Lepisosteus oculatus: one gene and its partners. The main gene of each other region encodes a partner of the protein of the gene in region 2 in a complex. Links are inferred from orthologs where the notes say so. Each region holds a gene or a part of one and is shown on either strand. Other genes may lie near its edges.

Region 1 (3,754 bases), on a different chromosome or scaffold from region 2:
GTGTAGTGCAATTATCTATAGATGCTTTAAAACCTTCCCTGCGAAGCAGTGTACAGCATATAACTGTTCAGCAAAGTAAACTGTTTTTAACTTGGCACAGCCAGTACACACAGCAAGGTCAAATTGGTGTCACCTCATATTTAAGATAGAATAAGCAACCGTTATGTAATATGGATCAAAGTGCAATGTTTCACAAGAACTCCGCACTTCAAAATGTTCACTAATTATTTAAGATAGCTAAGACAACTATTTACAAGTAAGATGTATTGAAGTACTTCAAATATTTTTTATTCAGTTCATAAATAAAACTGACAACTAAGCACGTTTTATGGATATACAGTAGTCAAGAAATTCTGTTGTATAAAAACCATGCAGCGGAGACTTCTCAAATATGACCAGGTTACGCAGCTTTTCATGCCCTGATATGAAAACATAGCCCTGACTTTCCTAACTCCTAAAACCACCTTTGTTTTCTTGAGTTATATTTAAGTGAAAAAATACATATTTTATATGTTTCTACTTTGTGCATTTGTATGTAGATTTGCATTTAAATGTTTACTATAATTCCCAGCAAAGTTGCCATCCCACTTTTCTCCAGAACTGAAAATCAAAAGAATCACCCTCTTAATCTTTGCAGAATAACCACATTTCTCAATCTTTTCATTATATTATTTTATACTGTACTTTGTCTGGCCATTCCAGTCTGTCATCTCAAGCCTTAGAATATATGGAATACTGGACTGGGTGGAAATCAGATGAATTTTTTCATTCCCAATCCAGAATTCAGACGTATCATCTGGAGTCAAGTAACCAAATCCCTCTTTGTACTGAATCCAGTTCCTGAAGAAATTCACAGAGCCATCACGTCTCTAAAAAATAAAGAAAAATATGTATTTTTCCTCATGTATTGCAAATGAATTTTGATAAACAGTTATTTAAATTCTACCTACCCTTTGAAGGACTGTCCAACCATTCCCAAATCTGTCTATTTGACAGTAAACCAAGAATTGTTCTTTTGCTTTTACTGGTTTGATAAAGTACAGACCGCTGACCCTGGCACCTTTGTTGGTAATGTCTTGGCAATCTGATAGAAAATAATAATGCAGCAGAGAAAGAAATAAAATGAGTAGCAGCAACACTGACCACTGGCTTAGTACAGAATGTTATCATGATATACCATTGTTCAAAAAATACATATTCCCAAATCATCTTAAATAATACAGGACAACAAAAATGTTTTCTGTTTACTTAGGAACCAATTTAAAATTCTGACATTTGTCAAAATACCTTTTCCAGTAGTTGGTTGAATCTCAACAGTATCTTTGCAGGGCTGTTTACAAGATTGCTCAAGGTTGAGAGCCATTTGTTTGAGTTGCAAAATTCTCTTGTCATTTGAATCTATAATATTTTGGAGCTCACTAGGAAAAAATAAGTAACAGAGTTATTTATACGTAACTGAAATGGCACCATACAACTAAAAGAATGCCTTTCACCAATCTATCAAATGCAATAAATGTAATTTGTTAAATGACAGCTACAAGGAAGTTATACTGTATCTCTTCTTAGTTTACTGATTTTTTTCTAGCAAATTGAATTTAAGATGTTCTAGTGAAATACTGCAATACAATATTCCTGGCGAGAATACTTCTGTCCATCTGTAGAGTTGCAAGCAAATATCCACACCTTAAGTTATATTAAGTTATTTGCTTTCATTAGCATTATTATTCCATTCAAGTAGCATTATTTCATTCAATACAACCAAACGAGATTTTAACTTCAAGGCATCTTAAACAAAACAAAACCAATCAATTTACTCACTATATCTGTCCCTCCTGATAGACAATACTCTTCTCAAATCGCAGAATATCATCCAACATGCTGCTTGATTTTTTTATGTAACTATCTGAAATTAAGAAAACAATTGTCTGATAAAAATAGAAATGGGGTATGATTGTCCTAATACAATAAAGTTTGACTAAGTTGTGCGATGTCAGTCGATTCTGAAGTATGGTACTTATAGTCTTATAATGTCTACAATGTTGTTTTGGGAGAGCATTTACTAGCGTTAGTAGCGTTATATGTATAATACATTCTAATCATAATCTTTCAGCGATGTATCCATTGAAATGCACTTTACCTGGTGAAGACTTTTGCGCAGCTGTACTGGAGTCTCTCATGTATACTACAGTTTCCTGTGCCCCTTTAGTTAAATTTGATATCTGGGTTAGTAAATTCTCCAAGTATTTAAGATCCTCATCAACGCTGGGTTTGTATCGCTGTAGGTAATCTGCGATTCCACATGTTGTGGGACAATATCGCCCCTGTAAAATCAGAACAAACCCTCAAATAAGCAAAGAATTAAAGTTGCGCCAATACAACAACAACAGCATCACGTTGCCATAGAATATAATTAAAATAAATGTCATTTAATGTCAACATTTCGTATAAAACTTTTACAAATAGTGATACATAGGCCCTTGAGTAAAAAAAACTAACTTACGAAGTTATCACTTGGGGTGCAAACTTCCGGTTGCGATGAATATTGCTAGGAAAATAAAGCATAACGATTTAGAGACGTTTTAATTTTACATACAGTACATCGATTTTCTCTGAAATGGAATATGACTTACCGCCAAACTTGACGAAACCATAAGGACAAAAAGGGTTATATGAAAGAAAGTCTGCGCTTTCAACACCCCCATGTTGTAGTTAAAAGTCTTTGTTGCCTTCTCTGTGAAAAGTGAAATGTCTCAATAGGGAGACGAAATTTATCTGATCTGTACTCTCCATGCAGCCCAAGATAATGGGAGGTGCATAATCTCTGAGGTCAGTTGTATTGACAGCTGTCACTGTATCCCAGTTACTCACTCTGTTTGGAGAACATTTTGTCAGTCTGAATTACGAAAACGTACTTATTCAGACGTAGTAAGCAATTTATTAAAAAAAATCATAGTTCCCATACTTCTTCAAAAGCCAACATAACCAAATATGTAATTATATACAAAGCTACATGGAGTATTAGTTCACACAGTTTCCAACTACCAACTAAATTACGAGACTTGTCACATGTGTGTGATCTAACAGTATCATGATTACTGTAAAAAGCTCTGAGAAATGTTTTTTTTCCATTGGTTCAAAACCTAGTGTATCCAGTGGCAGCTCCAGTGAGGTAGTGTTAGTGGACCATAGAGACATTTTGCCAGCAGTGAGATGCTTTCACCACTCACAAGCACACCTGACTGCTTCCATTGCTTCCTGCAGCAGTTCCAGGAGTGTCACCCATAGGCTGTGTGTTGGTGAGAATTATGAACCTATTCAATTGGACAAAGAATGAGAGCTTCTGGGACCTAAGGCCCAGTTTTGGACTACTGTACATCAGGAATTGCTTAGGATGCATATACAAGCCAATAGCAAGGTGTCTCAAGTGGATGAATATTCAGTGGATTTAGGCTGCAGGCTTAACTACATATTGTAACTCAACGGGGGCTCAGGCAGGCGCCCTTGCCGCATCTGGTCGGCCCCATCCCGACTGGAGGCTCGAACCCGGGACTTCCGCGTCTCTCTGCAGCGACCTAGCCCCGTGAGCTAAAGAGAGATCTCTCTTCAGCCCAGTAGCTGTGGTCCTGCTATCACAGGGAAGGGCGGTGATGTCACCCGCTCTGGTACGCCGGCTCTTACACAGTGCCTGTCGGCTGTAAGCGTTACACTCTCCCCCGCTTAAATCGCCGTCCCCGGCGAAGGGCTATCCCACCCC
Region 2 (3,754 bases):
GTCTCCTTCTGATTAGAATTTACTAATACCATTCACATTTAGAAATATACAAACAATAAGAACACAGAAAGACATTGATTTAAATTAAAAAATAATAAATGATCTTCAAGGGGACATTTTTATGTCATTTAACTTAAACACGTTAAAGGTATTTTAACGTGTGATGTTCAGTTTCTGATATCATGAACTGTAGCTCAGTTATCATTCAATTGACATGAAGAACTCTGAAGGAGAAAACAGCAATCCTATGTTTGAATTACAAAAAAACATATTTCTGACATAAACAGTTTATTGTTGATAACAAATATTCTATATTTTGTAATATGTTATATTAGATAACAACAAATATCAAAACAAATTATTATTATGTATTATAATTATATTCAAAGGAACAAGTGATAGGTTTATTCCATGCTGAAAAGAGACGAGAGAAAACGCAACGTTTTGAAGGCTTCAAAGCCAAAACGCTGTGTTTTTTTTCTTCTCTTTTCAGCATGGAATAAACCTATCGCTTGTTCCTTTGCAGACTACGCATGCTGACGCTGCTACCCACCTGAACTACTTATAATTATATGTTTGGGGCTCAGCAGTTGTTATAGCGTTAATTTAATAACAGCAATCCTTTTTTAATCTGGAAGTTAAAATTTTGTGGAGTTTGGAAGACATGAATTTAAGAAAGGGGGGGACAATCCTTACCCAAATATTTTTTCCAAAAGTCTGCCTGAATAAAAAAAAATAAAGAGAAGCAAATATAAATTAAATTATTCCAAGATGCAGTGTCAAGTCCAAGACGACAAACAGTTTCCTGTCACCCAGTAGCTAATGTGGCTAACATTATCCTAAAAGGAGACGGGCTCCTAGCAAAGGCTGGTGGTGACTCAATGACATTGGCACAAACAACACACTTTCCCCGAGAAACAACTTCAAACCGCCTTGGAGATCAAACCTGAAGAGCAGGACAACACCAGTAGCCTCCTCAGAGACAAGGCCTGCAGCAAATAAAGGTGACCAACTGCAGATGTCAACCCATGAACACAACACACAGCTGAGAATACAGTATGTTGTGCTGAAAAAGGCCTCAGCTTTCTGTGCCACTGGAAAGCATTCTGTGGCAAAAAACAGATCTACAGGCATGATGGATTACATCTGAATGAGATGGACACTAGTTGGCTTATGGTAAGGACCTATAGAGACCGTTTAATACACTTAAACTAGGATGGATGAGGAGTCCAAATAAAAACTGTTAACAAGATGTACATGGAATACAGTAAAAAAAAAAGTGAACCCAAACACAAGGACTTGAGCTGAGAGCTAACAGTGAAACAGAATTCAGAGGACACGAGTAAAAACTATTGAGAAGTGCATTGAAGACCAGGAGAAACCTCTGGAACAAGGCCACACTGTACAAGCTGACACCTTGGATTCGTTCAAGAAAACAGCTGGAATGAGATCCTTAGATCACCTTCTAACTACTAAATGTTGTTAGTTTCACTACTACCAACTAAATGAGCCAGATGGGTCAAATGCTTACTTACTGTTTCATTTCAGTAACCTTTACAATATGTGCTTAAGACAATGAGGCTAATATATTTGCCAACTTAGTATTCTGTGTTTGACATGCGCATTTTAGGATATCGTGAGATTTGAAGAGAGAGCACAACAAAATTTTCCATTATGAGCGATTAAAAGACCCTCAGCATAAAAGTAAATTTAAGAAATCTAAACGGGAGTTTGCAATTTTGTAAATTTTGGGAACTCACTGTCCGGGTGTTGTCCTCAAAGATTTCACGGGCCTCCTCGTGGTCACAGATCTCTTCCAGACACTCTCGTTCCATATTGCCTGGCTTAAGTTCTTCAAAAACGGTGTTTGCACGCCGGCCACGGGTCAAAACCATGGACGCTTTCTGTCTGTTGAGGAATACTAAGATCCCACAAAATTAATAGCAAGGAAAATGTGAAGTTGCCATTATTACATAAAAACCATGTCAAAAAATTTTGGTCATTTCACACGATAGATTATATAAACTTTGTTGCTGATTTCTTTGGGGAAATGATTACCCTGTTCACACTGTTAATACTACACAAGAAAATCAAATGTAAAGAATACAGGCCTCCATCTACATCTTCACAATGCTGAATCACTTGGTTGGATTTAAGACAGATTTTTGGAAGGATTTTTTGGGATTGTTGCTTACAATCAAGACATCGAAACTTTAACGGACTTTGCTGTCTTCTCGGCAGCCATCATGTTAACTGTCATATCTCTGCAGGACATAATCAAAAATGTTCCTGCTTTTACTCTTTTTCTGGGGTGTTCGAAAATCAGATAAAATCTAAACCATCTGCGCACAGTCCATGTTACTATGTGTCCGCCCTGTAATGATCTTTAACTAAGAGGACACTTCTTCACTTTTTTGCTGAGACTCTCAAGCAGAACTAAAAAACCAGCCTTGACTTGCAAGCAATGGACAATCAACACCCCAGCCGGAAAAAAAAAAATCTTACCATTTTCACAAAGAGAGATCTGGACAAAAGATGCACACAGGACACTGAAAATGAGAACCACGGACATTCCACCCATTGCTACTGATGTCTAGAGCCTGAACAGGGAGCTGGGACAAACCTACAGACACCCACCACCAAAAAAAAAAACAGCTCAGCCTCCTGGTTAATATTGAATCCAGAATCCCAAGAGGAGAAGAGTGTCACAATTCACTGGGAACACTGATCGCTTCCTGTTCATAGTGAAAGGCAGAGTACAATTCTAAAGGTGGCCATGAAAAAAATGTATTATAACAGTGTTTACTTGCACCTTATTTCTAATTCTAATGTGACCATATCTAAAGGAAAAAGCACTGCGCTTGTGATGAAATTAACTACAAAGCTTTTTGCTCCATCTTTCGAATAGGGGTGGGTTAATTAACTGGCAATCCCAGTGCTTAAAATCTTCTGGTTCCCCCGATTTCATTTCTCCTCTGATCTTACTCAACTTGAACCCATTATTTGGATAAGAAAATCAAATCACCGTTTTTTAGGGTTTTCAGTTTCTATTTCCAAAGCACTTGTCAAACACACAGGAATCGGATCGCAGGATCCTGGAGTTGCTCAATCACTGCTTTTAAAAGAATGAAATGCTTGATTAACATGGCGTCGTGCGACACAACGCGGTTGTTTCTTGGCTCACTTATGTTAACCCTCCCTGACCAGACAGCCACACGGGTGATTATCATGCAAGTAGGGCTGTCCGGATAAATTTCCAGAGGAATACATTGTCTTCCAGCTTTTGTTAGTTTTCAATCCAATAACAGGTTTATCTGATTAATTAACTACACAAAGTAAACATTTTCATGGGACTTGAAGTCATTTTGTTTGCAGCTGGGCTTGACTTAACCAGAACCAGGGCCCCTGTTTTTTTTCACCCTTAATTGCATAACAGGAATTTTAAAATACATGCAAATAGCAAGGGCCTTGAAGTACTTAACATCCCCATGGACTCATACAATTAACAAAACTGGATTAGTATGCAAAATGTCTACTTCAACTATTCAGTATCCCACTTGATTGTTAATAATTTGAAAAGAAAACAAGCAGGGAATGTAGTTCTTTAGTGGATTCAACGATAGCAGGAACAGCAGCTCAAAAAAGGGCTGTTTATTGATTTTCCTTCATGGCCTCACTGTTTAAATATTTGTGTGCAAATATTGGATGACTCCCATTGCAGGAGAAGAGAAAGGCAGGTTTACAGCAATAATAG
Region 3 (3,754 bases), on a different chromosome or scaffold from region 2:
TACCATGATGTACAGCCATGTATTGACTATAACCAGGCACAACAGGCGAAATAGGTACAGAACCTATCTGAGATTATTTCTATTGTATCGCTCAGATACAACCAATAAAACAAAATAAAAGACCTGATATGACTATTACATTGATTTGACATGGATGTGTTCAGAATAATGAAGAATCCTTGATGAGAGTTCTCACCCTCATCTTCTCGTGCTTTTTACACCAAGAGCTCATGTCTGAGGATGAAGAATGTTAACAGAAAGACCTCAGCTATCTTACTTTGGAAGTTCAAGACTTGTGTATTCTGTTGAAAATCTTTCATAATATACCTGTTTGACAACATTTCATATACAAAATTGGCATAGCATTTTTCTCTCTTGGTGGGGACTACAGGCTTAATTCAATGTTTCTGCAAGAATAATTGATATGATTATATTTGGGGAATGCATGTTAGCTGTCTCACAGCTCTTGCATCCTGTCTTCATAATTAGGCCTGGAGTACACTCTGTTTCAATGTTACATGTTCTGCTCAATGCCCACATAGGTATTCAATGGGTGATTGAAATGGGTAATCAGTGGACTCAATTAATTGCCCTGTGATCCCTGTGATGGACTGGCATTGCTTCCAGGTTGTTTTCTGTTTTTTTTTTTTCCATTGCCTGCTGGATTAGGTTCTTTCTCATTGCAGACCTGTATTATACTAAACAGCTATTGAAAATAGGTAGATTATTATATCGCAAAACACCAATTCCAAGACATTTAAATCATTGAGTAGCATATGCCATTTGGACCTTCTCTGATAGTATCATTTAAAGGTTGTTTGATGAACCAGCATTTTCTTGGCAAGGTAAAGCAGGAACTTAAGACTTTGTACAAAAAACCGTACCCAGTCTTCATCCAAGCAGATTGGCCACTCTTTTTGAGAAGCACATGCAGCTTTGCTGCCATGTTCTACTGGTCTGGGTCCTCTTCCACTGGCGCCAGTTTCGTGAAACGTGGATTCTGGCTGAAAATCATTAAAGAATTAAACCTTATGACTCATATATTATGGCATTTTCCCAAATGCACCTGTTAGCATGGATTGCTAGTATTGTGTGAAAGGGTGTGTCTCTATAAATGTAAAATGTTATTTAACAATATAATGGTAATACTTCCATGGCACATCATATTTGTGTGTGGTGCATCTGTGCATTGTGCAAAACATCTGGCAAAAGAGTTCTGTGCCTGGTGCATAACACGAGTTCACATGCAAAACAATTATTTGTCACCTTTTACCAGTCTGTGTGTCAAGTAACTTACAGTACTGTATGTTTCCTATGTTTAATGCACAAAATGTACATAAATCTGGAAAACAATATCATCATACCTTTTCAGTATGTTCCCATATTTTAAGAACATTACAAGAGCTTTACATTTTTTTCAGTACTAAGTAATTCAATGTGAATGAAAACATTCTTATGATCCTGATATACCGTATATGGTAGATCCTGAGGGAAAACGAAAAAATCCTCTTGATTGAACAACTGAACAATCCACATGGAACACAATGATCCAACTGAATAATGAATTGCACAAACTGTCAATACAAGTAAACTATCCAGGAACTGCGGAAACTAGTCAAAATGAATTTACCCTAAATGGCATGTGTTTTCTAATACAGTGTGTAATTTAGAATCACAATTCTTGTTATATCTACCCAACTTGGAATAATTGTGCACCTATACACCTCGCCATTGCATACAGGAGAGAATGAGGACTGATTCTTCTGACCCGCCCCCTATCAAGCCACACATATTTTTACTGGCACCACAGTCCCCTGTCAGAGATTCGTCCCCTGTTGGAGGAGAGGCGTGTCTCTTATTAATTCTGATTGTACGCATTATTTCAATAAATGTGTTTGAGCAACAAATCAGCATAAGATACACCTAAATGAATAAATTCAAAAGTACTTGGAACAAATTTGACATCCATATGTACCAGAAACATGGAAAGGTAACTCATATATTTAAGAAATCAAGAATCCTACCAAGACTTCTCCTAAATCCTTCAAATCCAATGTGAATAAAAAACAAAGGGAAGAAAATACTCTGAAACACGTTATGAAAAGCAAGCAGTAAATGTTTTAACATACTCAAAAAAGAAAACTGAAAAGTTGGTTTATAGTTCTTAATTAAATACACAGTTTGTGAAAACAGATTACTAAAGGTTTCATACACACAAGAGCTCACTTTTCATAATATCCACCAGATATTCCAGAGGGTAGATTAGGGAGAACAGGTGATGAAAGTATATTGAAATATGTTCAAAGTATAAGCTAAATTATAAAAGCTCTACTTTTTAAATTAACTCACTTGTTAACCTTTTCATTATAATTTCTTACACAGAAATATTAGCACTTTAAAAAAGTATTTACTATTTGCTTTCTAAATCTGTGTTATTAAGTGTAACCTAACAATGTCTTAAATGCATAGGAAAATACCTTTATATCACTTAATAATAAAGTTACCTGTGATCGTTGAATAAAACCAACAATATCAAGTCAGAGCATACAGTACATTTTTAAAAAGCACTCACCTTTGCTGTAGAGAAGACTATAAGTAACCAGCATAAGTGGTATAACTGCCCCATTGTTGTTGGTGGTGTCAAAAAGCGAGCTGAAATGTCAGATCTGCTTGAATATGTATCCAATTTGAACCCTTGATGACAAATCAAAGTTTGCTGACAATTTACCACTGTTTACCAAGCTAACAAGCACACGTAAGTAAATGATTAAAGAAAAATTTCTTGCACAATTTGAGGTGATTTGTTTTGGCTGCCCTGATGTTCTTTCTGACACAGGACTCAGCTATTGATTTTAAGATTTTTTAAAAAGTTGGATAGTGGGCTGCTGCAATGTTTGAGACCTTTGTACTTGGATGCGCATGTACGTTCAATGCCTCCAAAAGCACACAGAGAGATACCTGAACACCCACACAGGACATCACCCTTTCATTTCAGATACTAATGAGTTCTAATGTCTGGAAACATTATGTCTCATATCTGAATACTGAACAACTCCTTGGTCAATGGTACATGACAAATGTCTGTCAACAGTTTACAAATACTGCTGTACCGTACTTAAGGTTGTTTGCTGTGTGTTAAATAAGAATGAATCATTGGTTATTGATCACTTACGAGAAGTTAAATAATGTATTTGCTGACAATCAAGTTTTTTGTTAAATATTTTGAACTTCGGCTTTATACATAAGAATGTCTGCTCTTTTACCAGTTCTGTTAGTTAAAGCCAAATCTGATGATAAGAAAGTGAAAGACACTATATCCTAAATCATAATGTATTAGTTTTTACACATTAATCTAGACATTTTCTTGGAGATTTTCTTTGACAATTGATTGTAGTGAGCACTCATCTAGGATCCACACAAGGGTTTTACATATAGGGAATACAGTCCCTATCTACAGTACATATCCTGTAGACACCTGTCTTTAATAAAACTATAGGATGTTGAGGCAGGGGCATGATTAAGAGGTAATATAGTAGAGTCCTATTGAAGCCTCTAGTTTGTTTGGCCAGTGTTTTCAAGAAAGAAGAAGTGTCACATTAATATTTTGTGTTAATTACAAGGGTTTAAACTACATTTGTTTATTTTCTACACTCCCAAGGATCACTGAGGCTCTGGACCATAATGTTCTCTAACTGAAATCTCTTGATCTGAACAGTGAATACTAGACAGGCGGGACCTGCTCCAAGCGATAGAC

The links.
Region 1: the proteins of f2 (region 2) and fgg are in contact, whole or in part, in a crystal structure (PDB 2HWL), measured with the Homo sapiens proteins. The link is inferred for Lepisosteus oculatus from reciprocal best matches to the Homo sapiens genes F2 and FGG. Residues at the interface, in NP_000497.1 of Homo sapiens: His450, Pro451, Arg452, Arg461, Arg486, Ala489, Ala490, Leu493, Ile530, Val531, Glu532, Arg533, Cys536, Asp546, Asn547, Met548, Phe549, Cys550, His605, Phe607, Arg608, Leu609, Lys610, Lys611, Trp612, Lys615; in NP_068656.2 of Homo sapiens: Pro439, Ala440, Glu441, Thr442, Glu443, Tyr444, Asp445, Ser446, Leu447, Tyr448.
Region 3: the proteins of f2 (region 2) and fga are in contact, whole or in part, in a crystal structure (PDB 2A45), measured with the Homo sapiens proteins. The link is inferred for Lepisosteus oculatus from reciprocal best matches to the Homo sapiens genes F2 and FGA. Residues at the interface, in NP_000497.1 of Homo sapiens: Phe382, Lys384, Ser385, Gln387, Leu423, Arg425, Tyr434, Glu439, Lys440, Ile441, Ser442, Met443, Lys470; in NP_000499.1 of Homo sapiens: Trp52, Pro53, Phe54, Cys55, Ser56, Asp57, Glu58.

What each region holds. Positions count from the first base shown.
Region 1 is NC_090696.1:24,640,931-24,644,684, reverse strand, and holds the start of fgg (fibrinogen gamma chain), read right to left. Parts: upstream 2,758-3,754; 5' UTR 2,703-2,757; coding exon 2,631-2,702; intron 2,546-2,630; coding exon 2,501-2,545; intron 2,322-2,500; coding exon 2,138-2,321; intron 1,904-2,137; coding exon 1,819-1,903; intron 1,419-1,818; coding exon 1,288-1,418; intron 1,085-1,287; coding exon 951-1,084; intron 870-950; coding exon 685-869; intron 1-684. UniProt on the Homo sapiens protein: Together with fibrinogen alpha (FGA) and fibrinogen beta (FGB), polymerizes to form an insoluble fibrin matrix. Has a major function in hemostasis as one of the primary components of blood clots.
Region 2 is NC_090716.1:4,326,033-4,329,786, reverse strand, and holds the start of f2 (prothrombin), read right to left. Parts: upstream 2,640-3,754; 5' UTR 2,582-2,639; coding exon 2,506-2,581; intron 1,922-2,505; coding exon 1,761-1,921; intron 722-1,760; coding exon 697-721; intron 1-696. UniProt on the Homo sapiens protein: Thrombin, which cleaves bonds after Arg and Lys, converts fibrinogen to fibrin and activates factors V, VII, VIII, XIII, and, in complex with thrombomodulin, protein C. Functions in blood homeostasis, inflammation and wound healing.
Region 3 is NC_090696.1:24,649,250-24,653,003, reverse strand, and holds the start of fga (fibrinogen alpha chain), read right to left. Parts: upstream 2,683-3,754; 5' UTR 2,627-2,682; coding exon 2,573-2,626; intron 1,005-2,572; coding exon 885-1,004; intron 1-884. UniProt on the Homo sapiens protein: Cleaved by the protease thrombin to yield monomers which, together with fibrinogen beta (FGB) and fibrinogen gamma (FGG), polymerize to form an insoluble fibrin matrix. Fibrin has a major function in hemostasis as one of the primary components of blood clots.